Saccharomyces cerevisiae S288C: one gene and its partners. The gene in region 1 interacts genetically with each later gene. Each region holds a gene or a part of one and is shown in the gene's direction. Other genes may lie near its edges. The genes, in order: ECM19, CRS1 and HSP32.

What was found.
Region 2: mutations in ECM19 (region 1) and CRS1 together harm fitness more than expected from each alone (negative genetic interaction), as found in Saccharomyces cerevisiae (one large-scale study listed by BioGRID).
Region 3: mutations in ECM19 (region 1) and HSP32 together harm fitness more than expected from each alone (negative genetic interaction), as found in Saccharomyces cerevisiae (one large-scale study listed by BioGRID).

Annotation. Positions count from the first base shown.
Region 1 is NC_001144.5:901,297-908,928, forward strand, and holds ECM19 (Ecm19p), read left to right. Parts: upstream 1-1,769; coding exon 1,770-2,108; downstream 2,109-7,632. Other genes in the region: STE23 (metalloendopeptidase), read right to left, coding at 1-1,364; CCW14 (Ccw14p), read left to right, coding at 2,428-3,144; ART10 (Art10p), read right to left, coding at 3,453-5,009; ATP10 (Atp10p), read left to right, coding at 5,783-6,622; SUMO ligase CST9, read left to right, coding at 6,654-7,632. UniProt on the Saccharomyces cerevisiae protein: May be involved in cell wall organization and biogenesis.
Region 2 is NC_001146.8:179,693-186,228, forward strand, and holds CRS1 (cysteine--tRNA ligase), read left to right. Parts: upstream 1-3,182; coding exon 3,183-5,486; downstream 5,487-6,536. Other genes in the region: MPA43 (Mpa43p), read right to left, coding at 1-1,330; DNA-directed RNA polymerase I subunit RPA49, read right to left, coding at 1,669-2,916; VPS75 (Vps75p), read left to right, coding at 5,768-5,799, 5,895-6,536.
Region 3 is NC_001148.4:5,745-17,508, forward strand, and holds HSP32 (glutathione-independent methylglyoxalase family protein), read left to right. Parts: upstream 1-6,142; coding exon 6,143-6,856; downstream 6,857-11,764. Other genes in the region: YRF1-7 (Y' element ATP-dependent helicase protein 1 copy 7), read right to left, coding at 1-96, 245-263; seripauperin PAU22, read right to left, coding at 2,189-2,683; phosphopyruvate hydratase ERR2, read right to left, coding at 3,813-5,126; FEX2 (fluoride transporter), read right to left, coding at 7,484-8,611; YPL278C (uncharacterized protein), read right to left, coding at 9,309-9,611; YPL277C (uncharacterized protein), read right to left, coding at 9,661-11,124. UniProt on the Saccharomyces cerevisiae protein: Catalyzes the conversion of methylglyoxal (MG) to D-lactate in a single glutathione (GSH)-independent step. May play a role in detoxifying endogenously produced glyoxals. Involved in protection against reactive oxygen species (ROS).

The DNA of each region.
Region 1 (7,632 bases):
TAATCCTTTTCCAAGCATTTTGCCAATGATGAAACTGTGGAAGATGGGCTACCAGCTTGCTTAAACTTGAAGGTAGCATTAGAGATATCTTGCAGTTCATTGAATATCCATTTTTGAGGTAGTGAGTTTTTCAACATTTCAATATACTGGAAGATCAAGACAATAACATCGCGATAGTGTGTCAACCCGTTGTCTGTTAAATCTATATCGACAGCAAAAAAAGCATTTCCTTTGGACACAGTATGCCCACCAGCAGATAGCTCATTGGCCCAGCCCAATTTTTTCAAATGTGCTAGTAATGAACCGGACCCTTCATGGCCGATTAAATGACTTAATATCCTCGGTGGCTTGGACTCCCAATGTTCCTCCATATCAGGGACAGTGAAAGAGATTTCTAGTTTTTTCAAATCTTTCACAGGACGGACTTGAATTATTTTTTGCAAATGCTCAGGCTGCATAATAGGTTCCGCATAAAGGGGTACTTCACGACCGTTATTGGCTACATCCTTGAAGAGATCATAAGTCCAATCAGAGAGAGTATCAAGGTCTTCTCTACCAAGAATACATAGCTTCATTAGGTTAGCGGAGTAAAAATTCTTATGGAATTTTAACAGTTCATCTCTAACATTTAGTCCATTTTCCTTTGGCAATGTGCCCAAAGTTTCGATGTTTCCTGTAGAAAATTTGTGATATGGATGTTTTGTATTGGTCAAAGACTTGTCTAATTGGTAAATTCTCCAAATATCATTCTGTAAGTTCTTTTTGTTTTCGCTGTTAACGGCGTTGATCTCTTTATCAGTAGAGTCCTTGTTGAAAAGAGGACAAGAGAAAAACCCTGAAAACCTGTCTAGCGCACCAAATAAATGTTGGTGATTAACCTCAAAAAAATAATTTGTGTTTTGCGATGCTGTGTAGGCATTGGATGAACCACCGTGCTTGCTTAAATAGCTCGAGTATTCGTTTTCGTCTGGAAATTTCTCAGAGCCCATGAATAAAAGATGCTCGCAGAAATGCGCCAATCCAGGTAGGTTCTTTGGATCTTCAAAGGCGCCAATATTGACGTCTAGCGACGCTGCTGCTTTATCTGCTTTTGGGTCCTGGATCAACAGAGCCTTCAGCTTATTAGGTAGCTCAATAAACCGATACGATCTTTCGTCTAAATCCGGCTTTAAAAAGTCCAGATTGAATGTCTTAAAATTGGATGTCATATTATAAGGATTTGTTGTGTAATAGCGTGATAAGCACGTGAATGGCTTGAAGCGTCTTACGGTGAAATTGAGACTGATAGGTGAGAGGTGAACCAATTGAGTGAGGAGTGGTTTAGTTACAAATGCAGAAGAAGAAGCTAAAAGAGATACGCCCATACAGAGCAATATCAAAATGAGCAAGAATGAGGTCTTCCGAATGGTTGGTTCTGACTTACTATTTGATTTCACTTTCTCTGATTCATTCAGGAAGAAAAGGGCGAAGTCCTCGAAATGAAAATTTCAACATCATTAACAGACCGGCGCGCGCCTTTACAATTTAGTATGTACGCCACCAATAAAAGCTGCTTAAACAATAAGCTAGAAAGCCCAAAGGGTGTTAAATAGTACAGCGAACCCTTCAGCAACGGTACATCAACAACCCCTTGAAAAGAATAGAGACAATACAGCTACAGTCATCCCCTTCTCTTGTATTTTTGGCCACAATTGATTGTATTACATCATATTTTGCCTGTGCGCTTCTTCTATCTTTTCCGCATAAACTAGGGGAAACGCGATGAAGAAATGGATTGGCTGAAAAATACAACAATTGTAGTGTTATTCAGTCATTCAACTGACAAAAGTAACAAACACAAGAAACGTCAAGTCCAGTGCAATATGCGAAAGAACACTTTAGATATGGTCACTATAGGTATCGCATGCCTTGTGGGAGTCTACACGGGCACGAGATTTTTCGAGCCCATTGTTATCGATAGATTGCGTAAGGATGGAAACTTGAGAACGGACATTCCCATCCCAGAATACGACGAGGACGGAAATCTGTTAAAGGTCACGCCGTCTTTATCATCCACACCAGCTGCACCACCTACACCACCTACACCTCCTACTCCACCACAACAGTAAGGAAGCGTACTAGAAAATACCTCTATACTTTCTTTTCCTGTATATAGCATCAATAGTAAAGCCATTATAACGTTACAAAAACCTATTACCCGGAAAATTACTATTTATAGAAGCATTGGACCCATGCACCACATGCATTAGGACCCATTATTTCTTTTTTACAATTTTTCCGTTAATTTTTCACGAATTTTTCACCGTTTATAAACACTCTCGAACTTATAAACAAAGGGATGATAAATAGATTTCGCCAGTTGTTAATACACACAGGGTCAAAGCTCACAGCACTACTACACTCGTTCAACACTCGTTATATATTATCATGCGTGCCACCACTTTATTATCTTCAGTCGTTTCTTTGGCATTGTTGTCGAAGGAAGTCTTAGCAACACCTCCAGCTTGTTTATTGGCCTGTGTTGCGCAAGTCGGCAAATCCTCTTCCACATGTGACTCTTTGAATCAAGTCACCTGTTACTGTGAACACGAAAACTCCGCCGTCAAGAAATGTCTAGACTCCATCTGCCCAAACAATGACGCTGATGCTGCTTATTCTGCTTTCAAGAGTTCTTGTTCCGAACAAAATGCTTCATTGGGCGATTCCAGCAGCAGTGCCTCCTCATCCGCTTCTTCATCCAGCAAGGCCTCTTCTTCTACCAAGGCTTCTTCCAGTAGCGCTTCCTCCTCTACCAAGGCTTCTTCCAGTAGCGCTTCCTCCTCTACTAAAGCTTCTTCCAGCAGCGCTGCCCCATCTTCTAGCAAGGCTTCTTCCACCGAATCCTCTTCTTCCTCTTCTTCTTCCACCAAGGCTCCTTCCAGTGAAGAATCCTCTTCCACTTATGTCTCTTCGAGCAAGCAAGCTTCCTCCACTAGCGAGGCTCACTCTTCCAGTGCTGCCTCTTCGACCGTGTCCCAAGAAACAGTCTCCTCTGCTCTACCAACTTCTACCGCCGTTATTTCTACTTTCTCTGAAGGTTCTGGTAATGTTCTAGAGGCAGGAAAATCCGTTTTCATTGCTGCTGTTGCCGCTATGTTAATCTAATTATCTATCACTTTATTTCTAATGGGTTAAGGTATCTATCTTTTATATTTCTTATTTCCTCTTCTTATATGATGCGGATGATTTTATTTCTTCAAAAAACATTTTAAAACTCCTCTTTATTTCGTTATGTTCCAGTTCACTACGACTTCTTTTCTCTTAAAGAGCAAATAAAAGTATATAAATCTATATTAAATGAAAATCAAAAAAATATTTTTTCGATCAGCTCCTTGTTCTTTTCATTTCAAAGTTTTTTACATTGTTACACATGTGCATGAATATATATGTTTGCAGAATATTTTTGGCGACGCTTAACTCGCCATTTCAGTATATGTCGGTGGCGGTACATATCTGGGCAGAGCTTCAGCTTCAACGTGCTCTCTAACTTGACAAAAGATCTGAACAGGATCAATGTTTACTTCAGATTGCTTCCTAATTCCATTGATTCCCCATTCTATCAGTAGCTGTAAACTGAATGTTCTTTTTATCGTGCATGTCTTGAAACTATACAACCTATTGCCGCGATGTCTATAGTCTTCTTCATTAAATACCAACTTTCTTAAAATGGGGTGATCCTTTAACCGTAATTCACATTCAAACATAGAACCATCAAAATTTTCTCGTATTTCGTTTAAGTCCAAAAGAGGTTTATTGGATTTGAGCTGATTCAAATCAATCTCGATTAGCTTCAAAGAAGAGTAATTGCCGTTCGCTATTCCCTGAGATAAATATGTTGTAGTCTCTAGCAAGTTCAGTTGTAGTTTAAGTGGGGTAATTTGCATTTTGCTCAAACTTGCTATATTCCCCTCCATGACTACATAGACCTTGTCAAAATTTTGGCTGCCAGACCTAAACAAGTAGTCTTTCCTGTATATTTGCTTCAAATCTCGACTTCTAACCTCTATTCTCATATTGCTTTCCCCATCAGGCAACCCCATTTTATAAGTAGATGGGAAAACTTTCATACCATTTACTAGGCGAGTAGATTGTCTTGTTGATGTGACTGATGATACCGGTCTCGATCTAATGTCGCCGTTTTCTATCAATATAGAATTAGCTTGAGAAAAGTTCCTGTCACTTTTTATATATCCGACTCCATTAACGACTTTGACGTCCTTTGATGGCACCTTTAAATTTGAACTATTGAAAAATTCATTGTTGGTGACCATACTATTTCCTCTACTATTGTTACTGAAGGCATTAAGTTCTTCATTGTCATCTTCATCAGGTTCTATAATAAGATCTTTTGGCTCAGGTATAAATTCGAACGTCTCGATTTCCCTTATCAGTTTATGGAATGGCTTAAACCAAGATGAAGATTTCCCTAGCTCTAATTGAACTTGCACCATATATATAACTTTTCCAAAAGAGTAAAAATACAAATCCAGATTATCGATTTTATTAAATTCTTGCCAATGACTATTGAACGTAGGTGGGAGTCGGGCATTACTTCTTGTCACAAACGCTACTGTCTTTGCCGTATGATTTTTCAGACATTCAGGCTTTCTGGGAAACTTGTCAAATTGAAAGCTATAATTATATGAACCTGGTTTAACTTTGAACGGCTTGGAGGAGCCATCAAGAGCATTCCATACATTATCTGGAGGGAAAACTCTCTGTTCGAATTTCATTAATGTATGAAAGGATTTGTTGTCTTGGCCCGGCATCATCATGCCATTCTGTTGAAACATGTACTCTTGATCAATTTTTGTTAAGGTCTCTGAGAATCCTTTTAGAATGACGGAAATTTTCCTTATAGATAGCGCTTTTGTTAACTGAAGACTAACTATCCCTGACATTTGATCATTAGAGCTATAAAACTCCCCGTTGTACGGTGGGTTTAAGGATATTGAAATTTTTGGAGCCATGGTTTGACAAACTGTATGGTTCTCAACCTTCTCTAATCAAAAGCAGAATCTTAAATATAAACACTCACAGAATATCCGTTGGTCAATGAAGTAATTCTCCTTTGTACTGGCTGCTTTTTCTCCTCTAGTTTATGTAATTCTACTTTTGGATGGGTGCGACTGCTTTTAATTGATTGAGTGGCGGTGTTAGAAGGGCTGTAGAGTCGAAGGCTTGTTTCTCTCTTACGCACCTCTTGTGAAAAGGGCGTGCACCTTCCCCAGGACCCTCTCTCACCCTCAACCCGCATTTTGCTGAGAATTTTCACCAAGGCCCTAGGTGATATTAGATTCCACCTGACTAATTGCATTACAGCCGACCCAAGGCAATATCAGTTTAATAAAATATCATGTATCTCACCCTCTTCTTGGTATTAGTAAAGAGACGCCTGATCTTGTAACAGTGGTGAAGATTGTACTAGAGCAGAATCAAGAATTTAAAAAGTGTAAAGGCAAGGCAGAGGCGATGTACATAAAACTTCGAAGTAAGAAATATTTAATAGTTCTCGCCACATCACTATGCAGCTATATAAAAACTACTATAAACGTTTGTTTTGTTCCTTACGCACAATATCCTTGCCTAGAAATCGTTTTTGAAATTTAAATTTTTATTACCATTTATTTGATTCGCCTTCAGAAAAATATGGAAGAGTGCATATTTAAAAAGGACTATTTCAGCATATAGTAAAAGTCAGGTTATTTGTTTATTTGCGATATCAGAGTAACTTAAACTAACTATGCAGGGCACTTTTAAAAGGTTTTACCATCCCACGCTTACGCGGATGTCCTTCTTGGATAAATTCCTCAAGCCTATGATGGCAACGGCTTCCCCAAAGGAATACCAGATCAAACAACTGGTCAAGCCAATAGGCTTAACACAAGCACCAAGGAAAAGCACCAAATACTCCCAGGGGAACTCTTTGAGGGATATGTTTGATTCGGAAAAGACAAACCACAGAGTTAAAGAGTTGGCCGTTGAATTCAGCAAATCTGGACTTTATGACGTGCAAGTCTTCCAAAAGACAAAGGGGAAATTGTTTATAGCTCCAGTTTCATATTGGAAAGAAGATAAAGCTTTGTTTTTTCCTCATTTGATAGGAACGGCAATGGATGGTACGAAACAACAGAATATCGAGGATATGTTAAGGGGTAAAACCAGTATAGTGAGGTTATTTAGTACAGCATCTGGCGATAAGTTGAGTAGTTCATACTTCCAAGGAATCGTAGACGATAACAAAAAAACTGACTACTTGACTGAAGCTGATGCGCGTTTAAGTTTAAATGACAGTAACGTCCAAATCATCGAGGTCAATCTTGTAGAAAACGCTGTGAAAAGTGCTCTAGTGAAAACGCTTGCTCGTTGGGCCAATCGCGTTCCATCCTGGCGCCAGCCATTTTATTTCGAATGTTCTAGAGGCCAATGGCCATTTTCCGTCAGGGAAGAGCTCTTTTGCAATAATGTCTTTTCTGGATACGTCTTTCTTGTGGACCAGCAGTTAAAAATTAGGTGGGCAGCTTGCGGGGAGGCTACTCCATCTGAAAAGGAAGCATTGTGGAAGTTTGCCAAACGTCTGTGAAGTTGACGCTTTGTGCGGCGGCCAACAAGGGATGGGCGGCTATTTGGCGATCGTGTTCATTCCCCAAACTAACACGAAGAGCATGAGAGAGAAAAAACAAAAGTGCTTGAAACAGGTAAGACGTTTATCATTGATATCACCAAAGAAATATATAATGCCGGATTCTATTTTTGAACAGCCCTTTGTTTACTGTGGTGTTTGCCACAGAAGAACATCGCATGGAGATCCATTGAGGCTGACCTCATGTGCTCATATCCTCTGTTCGCAGCATTCTCCATTAACATCAAAGGTGTGTCCTATATGCCGTTCGAGCGATATCTCCATCATTAACCTTGTGGAATCTAAACAGCTGCCTACCGACATTAGGATTTTTTTTGAGCCACTGCCCCCACTTTTGGAGTCGTTATATAATGTTTCCCAATTCCAACTGAATGGGCTTTCGAAACAGTGTCAATACTATCAAAATCATTGTTTAAAGTTGAGAGAAAAATGTGCAAGACAACAGCAGCTGCTATATCAGGCCAAAATAGAGTTGGATTCTATGGCGATTCTTAAGAAAAGAATACAGGAATTAGAGTCAGTTTTGAATCATAACAATGTTTCTTCGATGTCAGTTGGTGTGCTACCAACAAGAAATAGCCATCAAAATCATTACCAGCCCCCTCCAACCGTTGATCTGACAGTTGATGATAATAGTTTAGAAGAATTCGAAGCCAAATCCTTTATTAAAAAGTTGAAAAAAAACTCTTCTTTGAGAAATTCTTCAAAAAATAACAATGGAACTGTCACTCCCTCTACAAGTGGTCGTGTAAATAAAAACCAGCCTCTCTTTATGGAGACATTGAATAATCCTAATAGAAATAGCATTCCTCCTCCTGGAATGAACCCAAACGCAAATAGTAATCTACCTAATATTTCGACTATTGCAGAATCAACCAATCTGAACAGATTTTCGTTCTCTCCTGTGCGTGTTGCAAAAGGCTTCGATGGAAAGTTGCCAAATCTTGACA
Region 2 (6,536 bases), on another chromosome or scaffold:
AGGAAATCAATGATAATAGTCTTTCATTTTTCGCTTGACTACCAGATATCCTTAACTCTTTGATATGTATATTTGAATTTTCATTTTGAAATGTATCAATTATCAATTTTGTCTGAAATGATAAAAATTCCAAGATACAAATATATTTATATGTAAGATTCAACATTGATGTATCGGTGGACTCGCCAATGAAAGAACCCTTTATCCGTGGATCTGCAAAAGGAGTCCTATTTCCCTCGTAATCACCGTAGAAAAACATATCTTTCGTAAGAATATGAATTGAGAGACCATTGTTCTTCTCAATGTCACGAATGGTTTGTTCGAGTACTTGATAGATATCAGCACCATCTTTCAGAATTTTCCTGGCACATGGATGACTCTCAAATAAATGTTCAATTAATTTACCAGTACACGACTGGCCCGCAGCATAAACAGAAAAATCACCCCTGTTGTCAAGTATAGTATCAAAAGGTCCCCATACTCCAGGAATTCTAGTATCAGAGATGGTAGTACCATACATGTAGCAGCTAGAAGTCCCGGCTATCATAAACAATGATGTTTCCAAATGAGGAGAAGCAACTGCGAACCAACTTGCATAACTGTCAATACAACTGCGAACTACAGTTGTCGAAATGTGCTTATTGGCAACAAGACTAGTGGTTCCAATGCTTACATTAGATGGTAAATTTATAATGTTTTTGTAAAATGAAGATGACCAGCCAGATACCTCTCCATCATTGCCTATACCATTAAGATTTTCTCTTCCCAAAAGTCCTTCAATGTTCCATTCATACAAGCGGCTCAGTTCATAAGCAATGTATTGATGAAGATCAAAGATATGAAAATGTTTGTCTCGTAAATGAGAGTATTCATCTAAAAAGTACTTCAATTTGGGGACGCCCATTTCGGGTACAAATTTTCCTCCCAAATAATCCAAAAGCTGTTGTGGACATTGCATATTTAGCCATTGACATTCGTTTACGGCAGAAGAGTCCATCCAAAATATGACATTATCTTCATTTGGATACGGTATCAGCATGTTACTTGTGCGATCCCTTTCGAAAATAGCTAATGAACACGTTGCAGAAACACCACATGACTTTACCTCATATTCTCTAATGTTCAGTTTCTGAAGACACTTTTGAAGGGCTTTAATTATTTCAGTTGATTTTTGCCAGAATTTCCATGACTTCTTTGAAGAATCCTGGTAGTATGGGACTGGTTCCTGCGCCATTTCTAACAGCGCATCATTGTAGTAATTATATACACCTATTCTAGCACTTGATGAACCTACATCAATTCCGATGCCAACTTGCAGACTGCTATTCATGATTTCACCTATATAACACGTTGGTTTCTCATTTAAAGTTACCTTTATTGAAAAAAATAAACTGATACATTTTTAAATTTCAGCTTACTAAGGTGCTAGAAAGCCGAACTACGCTATGAATTAATATTGAATTTATTGCGAAGTTTAAAATTATTGTAAAATATCTATTTGTACATATGTATCTTCTCAGAAAAAATAGCGTATATCTATGTAGTTATTTTTGTTTTTCTCTTCCTCTCATCAGGAGGACCGTCTTATATTTTGCTGCTTTATAGAACCATCTAGCAAAAAAAAAAACCAGAGCAAACCAAATGCTCAGTATATACCTCTAGGTAACTCTAACGTCTTGGACCTCTTCCTCTTCTTGTCATTTCAGGTAGCTTAAATGGAACTTTCATAGTGGCAATTTTATAAGAAGCTGCAGTACTTTTTGGAATGCCAAAAGCCTCAGCTTGAGCCACTGTGGCACCTTTGACAATAGCACCAAGTACCCTGAACAAACTGACAACTTTGGAAGGTTTCAAGTTCAATTCGTGTGCTAAGGGTGTGATTTCAACAATGAAGTTATCCAAATGCATTATGATTGCCAAGATGTAGCATAAGATTTTATCTTCATTTTGTGGGTCAATGAAATAGGAGCGATCCTTTGATCTTCCAAACTGTCCAGGCTTTATCACGGTAAATCTGCTTAAGATACCATCTACCAAGATTTCAGGAGGACTGTTCAACCTTTCTAACAACTTCGTCTTGTTATTCACGCGTCTATTTTCGTATACGCCCAGTAATAGTGATAAGTAGTATAGTAGCTGTAATTTGGTCATTTGTGAAGGTTGTGTCAAAGAGTCCAATTTCTTTGCCACATACTTGGAATTGTTTTGGTATGGGAACAATTCCAACTTCTTTTCCTTATCCGCTTCTTTCAGAATTGATGAAACGCGAATAAACTGTAATTCCTTCTTTGGTATTATACTTTCAATTGGGTAAATTTGTTCTACATCAGTGGCATCGATATTGGCTAATGGAGTAGGTCTATCGTTGGAAGTAATTTCATCCAATTGAGCCCGAGTTGGTAAATCCTTAGATGCAGTTCTCACGGAATCCACAATGTCAATAGCAGAATCAGTCAACTTATCAGAGTCAATACGGTTTCTTTCTAGATCTGCAATAGCTTTTTTAGCCTTTTTAGTACCAAACGCTTCACCCAACGCATTTCTCAAAGCAGATGGACGAGTATCACTCTTACTTTTTATTTTTGGACCCCTTAGATTCTTGCTTGACTTGGATACAACTTTGGAAACAAGTACGGGAGCCTTGTAGAGTTGAATACTTTTCTTTTCTGGATTAAATAGGCCCACAACATACTGGTTCGAAGCTTGGGAAGAAGAATCAGTATAACCTTCGTATTCTAGTCTCTCGTTTTCACCGTGTAATACGAATTCGTCCTTTTCAGACTTCTTTTTTTTGTATAAGTCGAACGTAGTGTCACTGGGAGCACGGAAGCCCTTGAAGAAACTTCCCACGGCAACAGAGGGTTGATCTTGAACACTTTCAATTTCGATTTCAGAAACAGACCTTTTCACGGACATTACTAGATAAAGTGCAAAAGGTTGATAACGACTGCAATAGTGGTAGCAACTTAAAAAGCCCTCCTAATATCATTAGTGTTCATGCAAGAATACTTACTATTAAAAATGAGATGGAAAATTTCAGCTCATCGCAATAAAAAATTTTCAGCGCGGGTGACCGCAAACATTTTTCATCGCGAAGAGTCAAAAGACATTATCAATTGAAAAGAACAGTATTGCTAATTGGCGTCGGTGATTAGGTGTCCGGTCAAGTTCTTATTCTATGCATGAATATCTTCATAAAAGCCCTGAGAAGATATACTATAATGTCTACGCCGAAGATTGTGCAGCCCAAATGGAAGGTTCCAACGCCACAAGCTAAAGAAACTGTGTTGAAGTTGTACAACAGTTTAACAAGATCTAAGGTTGAATTCATTCCGCAATCTGGCAATAGAGGTGTCACTTGGTACTCTTGCGGTCCTACTGTTTACGATGCCTCCCATATGGGTCATGCCAGAAACTATGTCTCTATTGATATCAATAGAAGAATTATTCAAGATTATTTTGGTTACGACGTGCAATTTGTGCAAAATGTTACTGATATCGACGATAAAATTATTTTGAGAGCTAGACAAAACTATTTATTTGACAATTTTGTCAAAGAAAATGATACCAAATTCAACGCCACTGTTGTTGACAAGGTCAAAACCGCACTTTTCCAATATATCAACAAAAATTTTACTATTCAAGGCAGCGAGATCAAAACTATCGAAGAATTTGAAACTTGGTTATCGAATGCTGATACTGAAACTTTAAAATTGGAGAATCCTAAATTCCCTATGCATGTCACCGCAGTTCAAAATGCTATTGAATCAATCACTAAGGGCGATTCCATGGACGCAGAAGTTGCCTTTGAAAAAGTCAAGGACGTTACGGTTCCTCTATTGGATAAAGAATTGGGCTCTACCATTAGCAATCCAGAGATTTTCCGCCAACTTCCAGCTTACTGGGAACAGAAATTCAATGATGACATGTTATCATTAAACGTGCTACCTCCCACCGTTACAACTCGTGTTTCTGAGTACGTTCCAGAAATTATTGACTTTGTTCAAAAAATTATTGATAATGGTTACGCATATGCCACTTCCGACGGTTCCGTGTACTTTGATACTTTAAAATTTGACAAATCCCCAAATCATGACTATGCTAAATGCCAGCCATGGAATAAGGGCCAGTTAGACTTAATTAATGATGGTGAAGGGTCCTTAAGCAACTTTGCTGATAACGGAAAAAAGTCGAATAATGATTTTGCTTTATGGAAGGCTTCCAAGGCAGGTGAACCTGAGTGGGAATCACCATGGGGTAAGGGTAGACCAGGATGGCATATTGAATGTTCTGTGATGGCCAGTGATATCCTAGGCTCTAACATCGATATTCATTCAGGTGGCATCGATTTGGCCTTTCCTCACCATGATAACGAATTGGCTCAATCCGAGGCTCGCTTCGACAATCAACAGTGGATCAACTATTTCTTACATACGGGCCATTTACATATTGAGGGTCAAAAAATGTCTAAATCCTTAAAGAATTTCATTACCATTCAAGAAGCTTTGAAAAAATTCTCACCGCGCCAATTAAGATTGGCTTTTGCCTCAGTACAATGGAACAATCAATTGGATTTCAAGGAATCTTTGATCCATGAAGTAAAGTCATTTGAAAACTCCATGAACAATTTTTTTAAGACTATTAGAGCATTGAAGAACGATGCAGCTTCTGCAGGTCATATCTCTAAAAAGTTTAGTCCCTTAGAGAAAGAATTATTGGCTGATTTTGTTGAAAGTGAATCGAAAGTCCATTCGGCGTTCTGTGATAATTTATCCACACCTGTTGCTTTGAAGACACTGAGCGAATTAGTGACCAAGTCAAACACATACATTACCACTGCAGGTGCTGCTTTAAAAATTGAGCCCTTGATTGCTATCTGTAGCTACATCACCAAAATCTTAAGAATAATTGGATTTCCATCCCGTCCTGACAATTTGGGTTGGGCAGCCCAAGCTGGCTCCAACGATGGATCCCTAGGCTCATTGGAAGACACTGTTATGCCATATGTTAAGTGTTTATCCACATTTAGAGATGATGTACGTTCCTTAGCTATCAAGAAAGCCGAACCCAAGGAATTCTTGCAATTAACGGATAAAATTAGAAACGAAGATTTGCTAAACTTGAATGTTGCCTTGGATGATAGGAATGGACAATCTGCCTTGATCAAATTTTTGACTAACGATGAAAAATTGGAAATTGTCAAGCTAAACGAGGAGAAACATGCCAACGAACTAGCAAAGAAACAAAAGAAATTGGAACAGCAGAAATTAAGAGAGCAGAAGGAAAACGAGAGGAAGCAGAAAGCTCAAATTAAACCACAAGATATGTTCAAGGATGTCACATTGTACAGTGCTTGGGACGAGCAAGGCCTTCCAACAAAGGACAAAGACGGTAATGATATCACCAAGAGTATGACCAAGAAGTTGAAGAAGCAATGGGAACAACAAAAGAAGCTACATGAAGAGTACTTTGGTGAAGACAAATAGAATACTCGTGGCTTCGTTATGTGTGCAACTATTCAAAAGTACGTATATATGTATATACCATCTTTTTTTACGTTAAAATAGTGAAAAAGGAAAGGAGGAAAGAAAAAACTAATATAATTAATTGTATTATATATGTACTTTTCATTTTGGAATGTGAAAAAATTCCAGGCGGAAAAAATTGAAAAAATCAAACACTGCGCTTGTGAGAAAAGGGAAGAAAAGCATCCTAATGATTAGGCGCTTGATGTTGACGACAAACATTTCGAAGCATAACACTGCCAATGATGAGTGACCAAGAAAACGAGAACGAGCAGTATGTAGGATTGAGCTCTGCAGGGCATGAAATGGAAAAATAAAGCAACCCATTATACTAACAATATGCACTTAGCAAGTGCGGTAGATGGTCAGTGCAAAAGCATTCTTAGGATTGGCTAAATGCGAAGAAGAAGTGGACGCTATTGAACGTGAGGTAGAATTATACAGATTGAACAAAATGAAGCCTGTTTATGAAAAGAGGGACGCGTATATTGACGAAATTGCAGAGTTCTGGAAAATTGTGCTTTCACAACACGTTAGTTTTGCGAATTACATAAGGGCTTCAGATTTTAAATACATTGACACTATAGATAAGATCAAAGTAGAATGGCTGGCATTGGAGTCTGAAATGTACGACACTAGAGATTTTAGTATAACATTCCATTTCCATGGAATTGAGGGAGACTTCAAAGAGCAGCAAGTCACCAAGGTGTTCCAAATCAAAAAAGGCAAAGATGACCAAGAAGACGGGATACTGACTAGTGAGCCCGTTCCAATTGAGTGGCCCCAGAGTTACGACTCGATAAACCCGGACTTGATCAAAGACAAACGCAGTCCAGAGGGTAAAAAAAAGTACAGACAGGGAATGAAAACCATATTTGGCTGGTTCAGATGGACCGGCCTAAAACCCGGGAAGGAGTTCCCGCACGGCGACTCATTGGCGTCATTGTTCAGTGAAGAGATCTACCCTTTTTGTGTGAAGTACTATGCTGAGGCCCAGAGGGACTTGGAAGA
Region 3 (11,764 bases), on another chromosome or scaffold:
CAAAAGATTGTCCAGTTTCCGTCTTATCATCATCTAAGAATGTAATAATTAAGCTATTGAGAAGATGCAGAATCTGCGCTATGCAGGTGCAAATCTCTAGCAGCAGCAAAGTAAATTCAGTTAGTAAGAAATCTCACTAAGATAAGCGACTGTCTGTCCCCTTCAAGCACAACATAGAAAGCAGAAGGATGTCTCATTCATCGCTTGATTTCCGGCCTGCAAAAATAAAGTAGTCGGTACGTACGTTCGTTTTCAATTTCCATGGTGCACAGTATCTTAACTATCTGCTTAGTCGAGGAGAACCAGGATTCTGTTCGTTGCTCAGCCGCTTCGTGGATATTCTCTTGGATACTTTAAATATGGACCTACGCTTAGCCTGCGCTTAGCCTACAACTTCTTCCGCTCTCGAAAAGACCAATATAATAGAAAGTTATAAATTACATTTCCTTATTAGGTATACGACCTCGCGCTTCGAAGTAGAGGAGCCCTTTTTGGCGTACCTACATATGGCGCGTCAGACAGACAAACTTCCCCCAAAAATGTATTACCCCGCCGAATAAGAAAACAGACCCATTCACCCACGACGTATCAAGTTACTTCCTTGGTGCAATGTCCCACTATAAAAAAATTCCTTGACGCTAGATCGTTGGACTAAAATCTGCGTCACAATCGCCTAAACAGGAAATATTGCCTATTTTCGTACAAGGTTACTTCCTAGATGCTATATGTCCCTACGGCCTTGTCTAACACCATCCAGCATGCAATACAGTGACATATATATGATGAACCTGTCTCTCAACTTACCCTCCATTACCCTACCTCTCCACTCGTTACCCTGTCTCACTCAACCATACCACTCCCAACCACCATCCATCTCTCTACTTACTACTACCATCCACCGCCCATCATAACCGTTACCCTCCAATTACCCATATCCAACTCCACCACCACTTACCCTACTATTACCCTACCATCCATCATCCGCTACTCACCATACTGTTGTTCTACCCACCATGTTGAAACGTTAACAAATGATCGTAAATAATACACATATACTTACCCTACCACCACATGCCGTATCCACCCTCACTTGTATACTGATATGGCATACGCACACGGATGCTACAGTATATATCATCTCAAGTTACCCTACTCTCACATTCCACTCCATGGCCCATCTCTCACTTCATCAGTACTAAATGCACTCACATCATTATTAACGGCACTTGCCTCAGCGGTCTATACCCTGTGCCATTTACGCATAACTCCCACGATTATCCACATTTTAATATCTATATCTCATTCGGCGGCCCCAAATATTGTATAACTGCTCTTAATACATACGTTATACCACTTTTACACCGTATACTAACCACTTAATTTATATACACTTATGTTAATATAACCAAAAAATCACCATCAAAATCACCTAAACATAAAAATATTCCATTCTTCAACAATAATACATAAACATATTGACTTGAAGTACGAGCACTACCATGACGTCATTAACGTAAAAGTTCCTTAATATTCCCATTTGCTTGAACGGATGCCACTTCAGAATATTTCGTACTTACACAGACTTCACATTAGAATATTATGTCATCCCATTGTTGTGACACTCTTTATTCACCGAGCAATAATACGGTAGTGGCTCACACACATGTGGGCGCTATCCCCTCAACTCTATTCCAGTTACAGTTACATAAAAAACTAACCTAACAAAGAAATAATAATATTTATGTCACAAAAATCAGGGTCTCTTGCTATGACTTGCTACTTGTTTTGCCCTGATCTGCAATCTTATTTTTAAAAGTGACGCATATTCTATAAACGACCCCGAGGCGACGCGCCAAAAAATGAAAAAAAGGAAGGACACATTTTTATAGAAAGACAAAAGGCTGCGAAGCCGCACATTTCCAAGTTCAGTATTGCTTATTGGACATACCCTATTAGCTTTATTACCATGCACCCTTTTCCAGAACAGTGACGCAAAAGAGAAGTTTCTATTTTGGGTTTATTGTATTGAGAAAATACTCCACAAACACTGTTATTGATCAAAAATGAGTTGTCATATTAATATACATTTACATATGAGAAATTGTATTTATATCAATAGAATAACATATTTTATTTCATTTTCTTTACTTTTTAATGTCTATGGAATTTCGTTCGTAAAAGCTTCTCTCTATTTTGGAATAGCAGTGTAGATACCGTCCTTAGATAGAGCACTGGAGATAGCCGGTCTCAATCTGGTAGAGTACCATGGGACACCAGTGATGACTCTGGTGACTTGTTCAGCTGGAATACCAGTCAACATGGTGGTGAAGTCACCATAGTTGAAAACAGCTTCAGCAATCTCAACTGGGTAGGTCTCTGTTGGATGAGCTGCTTGAAACAAGTAGTATTGAGCCAAATGAGCTCTGATATCGGAGACGTAAACACCCAATTCGACCAAGTTGACTCTTTCGTCAGATGGAGATAGAGTGGTAGTGGCTGGAGCAGCGGCAACACCGGCAGCGATAGCGGCAACACCAGCAGCGATTGAAGTTAATTTGACCATTGTATTTGTTTTGTTTGTTAGTGCTGATATAAGCTTAACAGGAAAGAAATGAATAAAGACATATTCTCGAAGGCATATAGTTGAAGTATCTCTATTTATACCTATTCCTTCATTGGTCATCACCACTTAAACGATTCGTTAACAGATGCTCCTTTAGCACTTCACATATTCTCCATATCTCATCTTTCCCACAACTTCATGATCACTATGAAGATGTTTTTGTTTTTAAACGAGGCATGCATCTTTATAGATTCTGTATGCGAAGGTATTGTTTTCTGGGGCCTTTGTCTATTCGTATGCGCCGAATGTGAGAATGCCAGTTATAGGGGTGCCGAGGTGCCTTATAAAACCCTTTTCCGTGCCTGTGATACTTCCTTTTTTGGTATAGCAGAATGTCTGAATTTAGTTGCTATAGATCCTCGTTCAGAAGCGTATTGCTAAGCCTATCTCCAGTATACCCTAAACGATCGCCGAGAAAAAATAATACTGTACCCTCCTATTTCCCGGAATTGTACAGAATAGTAGGTATGTGCTGGGAGTCGTATATTGTTAGAGTCTGTAATTTTTACGCGCGCCTAGTGGATTCGTTGATACGATTACGTTATTCTAAACCGTCGCAAAGCAAATTGTGTTGAAGTAATTCAAGACTTTAAATCACTTGTACCAAAATCATTGTTGCGAAAACTTATCCTCAGTATTAGTTTCTTGACCGTAACAGTAGTTGAAAAAAATAAAATCATTTCTATGATCGATACACTTTCATTATTTAACTTCTCTATTATGGTGTAACTTCTTACTTTTGTCAGAAAAAAAGATTTCAAGACACAACAAGAATGGGGTCAAAGGTCTGCTTGTACTATCAGGAAGATTTGATACCAACCGCGTTATAAGGGTTACTAGAAAGTAATAGCTGCTAAAAAATTTAAACCGAAGAGATTAATCAGAAAGCTGAAAAACTGCAGTGTTAGTAGAGTTGTAAGCATTTCTTGATTGGAACAGCCTTCCCCCACACGTCCACCCTTGTTCAGACAGATTCGTAATGATTTTGTGTGTAGGCAATGGAAAACTTTAAAAACGGTTTGATTTCCTACAAGATAAAACATATGAATAAAATAACTTGTGTCAAATGCCCCATTTCCATACTGTAACCCAAATCAACGAAATAAAAAATAAAACCTCATATGATTTACTTTATTTAGTCATAAAAAAACAAAAAAAAAAAAAAAAAAAAAGGAAACAAGACAATCCTTTATAGTTTGTTTCCATCATGAAACCTATGACCAGCATATATACAATCGTCCCCCAGTTCCTCTTCGATACGCAAAAGTTCATTATACTTGGCCAGTCTTTCTGATCTCGACAAAGCGCCCGATTTAATTTGACCACATCTTAAACCAACGACCAAATCAGCGATAAACGGATCTTCGGTTTCACCTGATCTATGCGATATCATTACACCCCATCCAGCATCGAAAGCCTGATTGGCGGCTTCAATAGACTCAGTCAGAGTACCGATCTGGTTGAGTTTCAGCAACAGAGTATTCGCACATTTCTCCTCTATAGCACGGGCGATCCTGGTCTTGTTGGTGCATGTCAGGTCATCTGCAATAATCTGAACATTGACAGTCTTTAGGAAGGCAGACCACGAGGACCAATCATCTTCGGCGTAGGGATCTTCCAGGGAAATGATTGGGTATTTCTTTAGCAATGAATGGTAATATTCTGCTAACTGGGCTGGACTGAGCCAGTGAGATGGGTCAGAGTTCGGTTCCTTGAAATTTAGGTCGTATTTCCCGTCCTTATAAAAAACAGAAGGAGCACTATCGATTCCTACTTTCACTCTACCCTCGTAACCGCATATGTTAATGGCTTCCACAATCATGTCCAAGGCGTCTTCGGCAGTGTCAATATCGGGGGCAACTCCACCCTCGTCACCAACATTTCCAGCGGAAGGTCCATATTGCTCCTTCGCCAATATCTTCAAATGATGGTAAACTTCCGAACCCATCCTCATGGCTTCTGCAAAGCTCTGAGCCCCGACTGGCGCGATCTTGAATTCTTGCATAGCTAAAGAGCCACCGGCGTGGGCTCCACCATTCAAAACATTGAAAAAAGGAACAGGAATAACAAAGGGGTCCTGTCTAGCATCCGCTAACTCGGCTATATACTTGTAGAGAGTAATTCCCTTTTGTGCGGCAGCAGCTCGAGCAACGCACAAGGAAACACCAAGGATAGCATTGGCGCCCAACCTTGACTTGTTAGAAGTTCCGTCTAACGATATCATGAGCTCGTCTATGCCCTTCTGATTGGTTACACATAATTCGGACTTGATTAAAGCAGGCCCTATGATACTATTGACGTTACTGACTGCCTTGGTCACCCCTTTTCCCATCCATTCGGACTTGTTCCCGTCTCTAAGTTCAACAGCTTCGTGAATGCCGGTGGAGGCACCAGATGGGACGATCGCTCTGAAGAGACCATTCTCTGTTGTAATTTCAACCTCAACAGTCGGATTGCCGCGAGAATCATACACCGTTCTAGCATGTACCTTCGTGATGGACATATTTTTATCGTTGAGATTCGATTTTTTCCTCACCTTGTTTTGGTATTTCTATTGCAAGACAAAGTGAAAGAAGAAGAAGTGGTGGTAAAAAATAACTATATATAATGAAAATTGTAACCTGGTGGGAGTGCAAACTGTAAGTGATAACCTGCCAGATCCATGTTTCTATTATATACCTAAGAACCAGCCAAGTTAGGTAAACGAGGAGTCTTTCAATATCTCTTTTCTAGTGAGAATGTTATTTAGGTAAATGAACAAGTTACCACTATACTACTCACCCCCTACACTTTGTTTGTGACCTCTCCCCTTATCCAGTTCATCGAAACTTTTTTTTCAACTTGTGGCGATCTGTGACATTGTCTACTACAAGAACCGATTTTGGTTGATGTCTGTAAAAAAAACAACCTTACCTTTCCAGATCCAACTTTCCAGGAGAGCTGCGTGAGTTTCAAATATTTACCATGTCGGAGAAAGCTCCCAAGTACTTCCTTGTTCTTGTCATTTTTTCCTTATCTCCATCCTTTAAGGAAGGTATTTCCATTATGCGATTCTATAAATCCGAGCATGCGAGTATTTCTTTTCTTGGCGCGGAGTCGCTGATGACGCAATAGGCACATTCACGAACATCCAGGACTGGTAATCTTCTCGTCTTAAAGAAAATCCAACCACCAGTAAGAAACTCTTGGGTAAAATGGGGTATCTGAAATATTGCATAGCTGCAAATGAAGATATTCAGTATCAGCATAGGTATTTTCATGAAGGATAGGTAAAAAGAAAGAAAAGAAAAATATCTTTTTGACTGTTGTTCTTGCAATTATCACAATTAGGGGACTTTAAAACCGATACTTGATATATGAGCACAGTCAAGGGGCCGGTTCTTGAGATTTTAATGGAAAAGAGGAAAGTTGCACATACAGGTCTGCTTTTCTTTGCTTGCTCCAGACAACGATACTTAGAACTAAAACATATTTCTAGAACACTTTTCTCCTTCATTCAAAAAGAAAACTGGCCTTGCAATGACTCCAAAAAGAGCGCTAATATCTCTTACTTCATACCACGGTCCCTTCTATAAAGATGGTGCGAAAACAGGCGTTTTTGTAGTTGAGATTTTGCGGTCGTTCGATACTTTCGAAAAGCATGGTTTCGAAGTGGACTTCGTTTCTGAGACTGGTGGATTTGGCTGGGATGAACATTACTTGCCAAAGAGCTTTATTGGTGGCGAAGATAAGATGAACTTTGAAACGAAAAATTCCGCCTTCAATAAGGCGTTAGCGAGGATCAAGACCGCAAATGAAGTCAACGCCAGCGACTATAAAATATTCTTTGCATCTGCTGGACATGGTGCTCTATTTGACTATCCCAAAGCTAAAAATCTGCAAGATATTGCATCCAAGATATATGCCAATGGGGGTGTGATCGCTGCCATCTGTCATGGACCGCTCCTTTTCGATGGATTAATAGATATCAAAACAACAAGACCATTAATCGAAGGCAAAGCTATAACAGGTTTCCCACTCGAGGGTGAAATCGCCCTGGGAGTTGACGACATCTTGAGGAGCAGAAAATTGACAACGGTTGAACGCGTTGCAAACAAGAATGGAGCCAAGTACTTGGCGCCAATCCATCCCTGGGATGACTACTCTATTACAGATGGAAAGCTAGTTACGGGTGTTAACGCAAATTCTTCCTATTCGACCACAATTAGAGCTATAAACGCATTATATAGCTGAAACAAAAGACAAGGGAATTGTTGAAGGGGAGGCTTCTAATGGCTTTCAGTTTCTGTGAAGAGAAGGCTAACAGCTCAATGGTTCGAAAGGTAAAGAAAACGGCAGGTCGGTAGCACTCGATTTTGCTAGAATGGAAATCATATAGAGAACAATTGAATAGTAGGCCTTGGTTTTTAGTGTTGTACTCATCATGGTCATATGTGACATAGGTAATGTACATATATATATAAAAAAAAAAAAAGCAATGCTGTGAGATCATTCGTTACTTACGAAATACGCAGATTGCAATTTGAAATAAGCTGTGTTTTCTTTTTTTTCCTTTTTTTTTCTTTTTTTTGGCTTGTTATATACAACTTTTTTCTATTTCTGTTCTTTTTAGAAGTAATTAATTGGTACATAGGAAATAAATATGAATTATATTAAATGAAGTAAAAGTAAAAGAAAACGGGGAAATTTATCGTTTTGTAGTAAATAGATGATGGAACGCATTCATAAAATCTCACAAAATATTACAATAAACCGCAGTAGTCGGTAAAAATGTATTATACAACGTCTAAAATCTTGAAAATGAATTAAAAAAAAAAAAAGGTGGGATGATTGTGCAGGAAAAGGTATGAAGAAAAGATCCTAACAAATCGGGTTAGTCAATCCTCTAGTCCAAGCATAGGATCCGAGAGTTATCACCAATAAGCAATATGAAATTCCAATCGAAACAGTATAATAAATAAGCATGTTAATAAATGATAGCTTATACCCTTCATTGATAAACGTGCTAATGGTACTCAAAGTGCCGCAAAATCCGGATATTAACGCAGAAACAATATGGCATGAATTCAACGAGTTCACAATTGGAATATCCGTGGAAAAGTGTTTTTTACCACGTTGCACCATGGTAAATATGCCAATCAATAAAGTGGCGAAAACGTTTGCCAAGAAAGTACCCAATGGAAACTTTTTGTTTGTTTTATTAAACATTTCTGCCAACCAATATCTTAGGAAACCAGCGAAAATTCCAAATAGACATGGTAGTGTCCACTTGCCCCTCGAATAGTTCTCATAATACGCACACAGCACCACAAACAAAATAATTAATGGAAAAGCTAGTGCGTACGCGAGTTTATCCACAACATCAAAAAATTTCTTAAAAAATGGTGCTGGAGTTTTGAATTTAAACTCTAGAATATTTTTTTCCATTTCTTGTGTATCAACATCACCAGCATTTTCCTTTACAGTGTCTGAGGGAGGGGTATATGGCTTCGAAAACGAACTAGATCCATAAGCAACAATAACCTCCTTACCAAGTTGCCTACCGAAAATAAGACTACCCATGGAAACCATAAGATGAACGAGCAAGACAGATAAAAACTCCATTATACCGTAAGCTCTGTTCGGCAGTTTTGTGTGGTTAGCGATATTACCGTTAGTTAAGTTTGTAGAGTGTTCGAACATCTCTAGCAGCATACTAGAAAAGGAAGACAGGGCACCACAGTACCCAGTAGTTACACCTAAAAACAAGACTTGGTGATCTTTCATCCAAGTGTAAGCATTTAAAGATTGCATAATCCCCATTAGCATGCAGGATGAACAATTAGACCAGAGAACGGTCGGAGCAGTAACGAAGGCCGGAGTGTAGGTGGAAAGCGCCGTTATAGCCTGACGTGTTTCAGTACCTAATATGCAGAACGTGGTGAATGTACAAAAAACATGAATATAATGGCTCAACTTGTGATTTGATATGACCGGATTGAAAATCATCAGAGCATTACACGCTCGATTAAATAATTAAATAACTGCAGATTCTTGAGCCACCAGACGCTAAATAATAATGGCGGCAATAAATATAATCCTTTAGTACTTATTTCAGTTGTTTTTTGTTTTATTTTTTCCGTATCTCTTCCGTATCTCTTCCATCATTGCGTCAAAAGTGATTTACACTGCTACATGAATCGCGCCACTTTATGTCAGTGAATCTTTCATACATCGCAACTCCTCACTGACAGTGACTCTAGCAGAGTCACCATCTTTTCGATATACCCATCAAAGTGCACGATTCTCCTCCCCTGTTAGACAATCGTAACGTAATATCGACATGTATTCGTAGCACCGCTGCCAAATAATTTTCAGATCGTTCATTGTACATGAACCAAGCGCTGTTGCTTTACTTTATGATATTGCTGCTGAGCTCCCTTGTCTTTCATACGACGTTTTATCTTGATTTCATATCTTTTTTTTTTGGTAAAATAGAAAATACTCAACAGATATCTGATATGTATATAAACACTAAATAAAGAAAATCTTAAATCTTGCTGGCATGACTGTCGCTGTGTCTCAAATCTCTTAGTAATTCATAGATGTGTATCACCCCAAATCTCAAAAACTTCATAATTATTATTGGATTATCTAGAAATCATACCCTTCATACTGTCCCACAATGGCCTGCTCACATGAGGCGCTAATGATTACGATTAACCATCAAATCATTTATATTGATACACTGTAGTTTACTGTTAATAACCAACCTTTGTCGAGATTCATCAAAGTGGGTTCCAAATCCCTCATTGTGGGAACCTGGTTCAGTCATACCCATTGGAGATGGGCCCCAGGAAGGAGTGTAACAAACTTCATCCCAATTGCATTGCCTCTCACAACGGTAATTTAGTTCAATCCACCCTAGAGATTCAATTAAACCATCGATAGTGGAGCGAGCCGTTTCGACATTCTTTATTAAGTCGCTGGAAGTTGTGTTATCTGTCATAAAAGAGTAGACTTCGGGTATCAATAAATCATTCACTTTATAAATGACATCAACAATTTCTCCGACAACGCTGACAGCAGATGACCAAATCAAAAAGTCTGCATCCGTTTTTAAGGCCTGGTATGGGCTCACATATTGGTAGACAAAAGTTCAATGTGAGTGCTGTTGCATTGATGGCAATTGACTCATTAATATCACCATCGCTGTTCAGTATGTTACTAACAGATTTTAGTAATGGAGCAAATTTAAGGACAAGCTCATCAAATGCTAACTGCCAATCCATACTTTGCGTGGCATCAAATCCGACTTCCAGCGCCTTTTCTAAGTCATCTACCATGTCCAATTGCTTTTCCCATGTCATTCCTTCATCGAGTAATCTTCTGTTGTTAGGATCAGGAGCAATGTACGTCCTGTTTATCCCGCTCACTAGGTACCTATAGTCGATATGGATTCGATGCTCCCCGTTGTCATGCGCTGCACCCGCTCTCAACTGATTGAAGCTTTTAACTGCGTTGAAATTAGAAAAAGCCTTCTCCCAACCATCTTCTCTTTCCAGAATCGCCTTTTGGTCATCTGTTAGCTGATCTTCAACTAGGCTTCCATTTTCATCCAGAGGCCAACCTTCTTCCTTCGATATTACGGTAGGTGCTGGTAAGCCTAGGTACTGGTTAGGCTGGACCATTTCTAACATTGAAACAAGTTCGACGTTATCAGCCGAAAAATCACACAAAACGACCTCAAAGCCAACCTCTACCCTGATAATTCCGTCAAGCCCGAATGGCTTCCCCCATTTGCATATTCTAGCAGCGTAGAGTCGTTCGGCCATTCGTTCGTTTTCACCATCATCTGTAAGGTTCAATTTCTCTTTAATAACATTTGACAACATTAGCTGCGTGTCCATCTCTCCTGAGTCAGTTTTCGCAGCAGAAGCCCCATCAAGATAGAGAAATTTGTTGAGGTCCCGTGCTGCTCTATAAGTAAGCATTTTTTGTGAACCCCGACCTTTTTCGTCTGGTGGTGGTGGTGGTGGTGGTGGCCCTTTTGGATGATCACCGTTGGTGCCATTGCCGAACCTCCCATGCCTTCTTTCCAAAGATTTTCTCCCATAGGATGGTGACCTCAAGCCGAAAGAGTAGCTGAATTCATGGTCCATAGCTAGCCATTCGAAGGTAGTTGGCACTTTTGATCCGGCATGGTACATTAAAGTTCCTTTGGGAATTACAGCGGGAAAATAAGATACTCCGACAGGATGTATATCCGATGGAGACTGTCTTAAAGCAGCCCGAATGGAATTAAAGATAGCCGTACTGTTATCAAAATCAATGTCTCTGACGAACTCATGGTAATTATCCCATCGTATAGAAGGTAAGTCTGTGCTTTTAATTGCAGATTGATTGTGTGGTAGGGCAGTTGATACTATGCCGTAAGATCCAGATAACTTCCAACAGAAACCAAGCAGTACAATGAGTAGTACGCCTATGATGGCTGAGATACCTTGACGATGGAATCGCATTCTCTATCTAAACAGTGGTCAATGGATTCTTCGAGAGCTAAGACCATAGATTTCTTAAAAGAATTTTTTTTTTTTTTTCTGTCCTCCTAATATCTTTTATCTTTAATACTGTAGGGGCGCAAGTTTCTTTTTTTTTTTTTTTTTATGTTGCGTTTAGTTTTTCTCTTGGCAAAAGTTTTTCGCACCCCGATCTTTTTTTGCATACGTAGTTCACTGCCGCTGCTTACGGCAGCGTTTCACTTTGTTTGGAGAACGGTTGTTAACTTGTATTTGATATGGTGTCGAGACAATGTCATTGCAAGTTATATAAACATTGTAATACATCACCTCGATGAAAGAGAAACTGGAATGATAGATCTCTTTTTCTCAAAATTTCGTTAATATGTAATAATAAGGTTCCTGATGTAATTTGTTTTTGTACAAATTATTTTAGATTCTGGAGGTTCAAATAAAATATATATTACAGCCAACGATTAGGGGGGACAAGACTTGATTACACATTTTTCGTTGGTAACTTGACTCTTTTATGAAAAGAAAACATTAAGTTGAAGGTGCACGCTTGAGGCGCTCCTTTTTCATGGTGCTTAGCAGCAGATGAAAGTGTCAGAAGTTACCTATTTTGTCACCATTTGAGAATAAG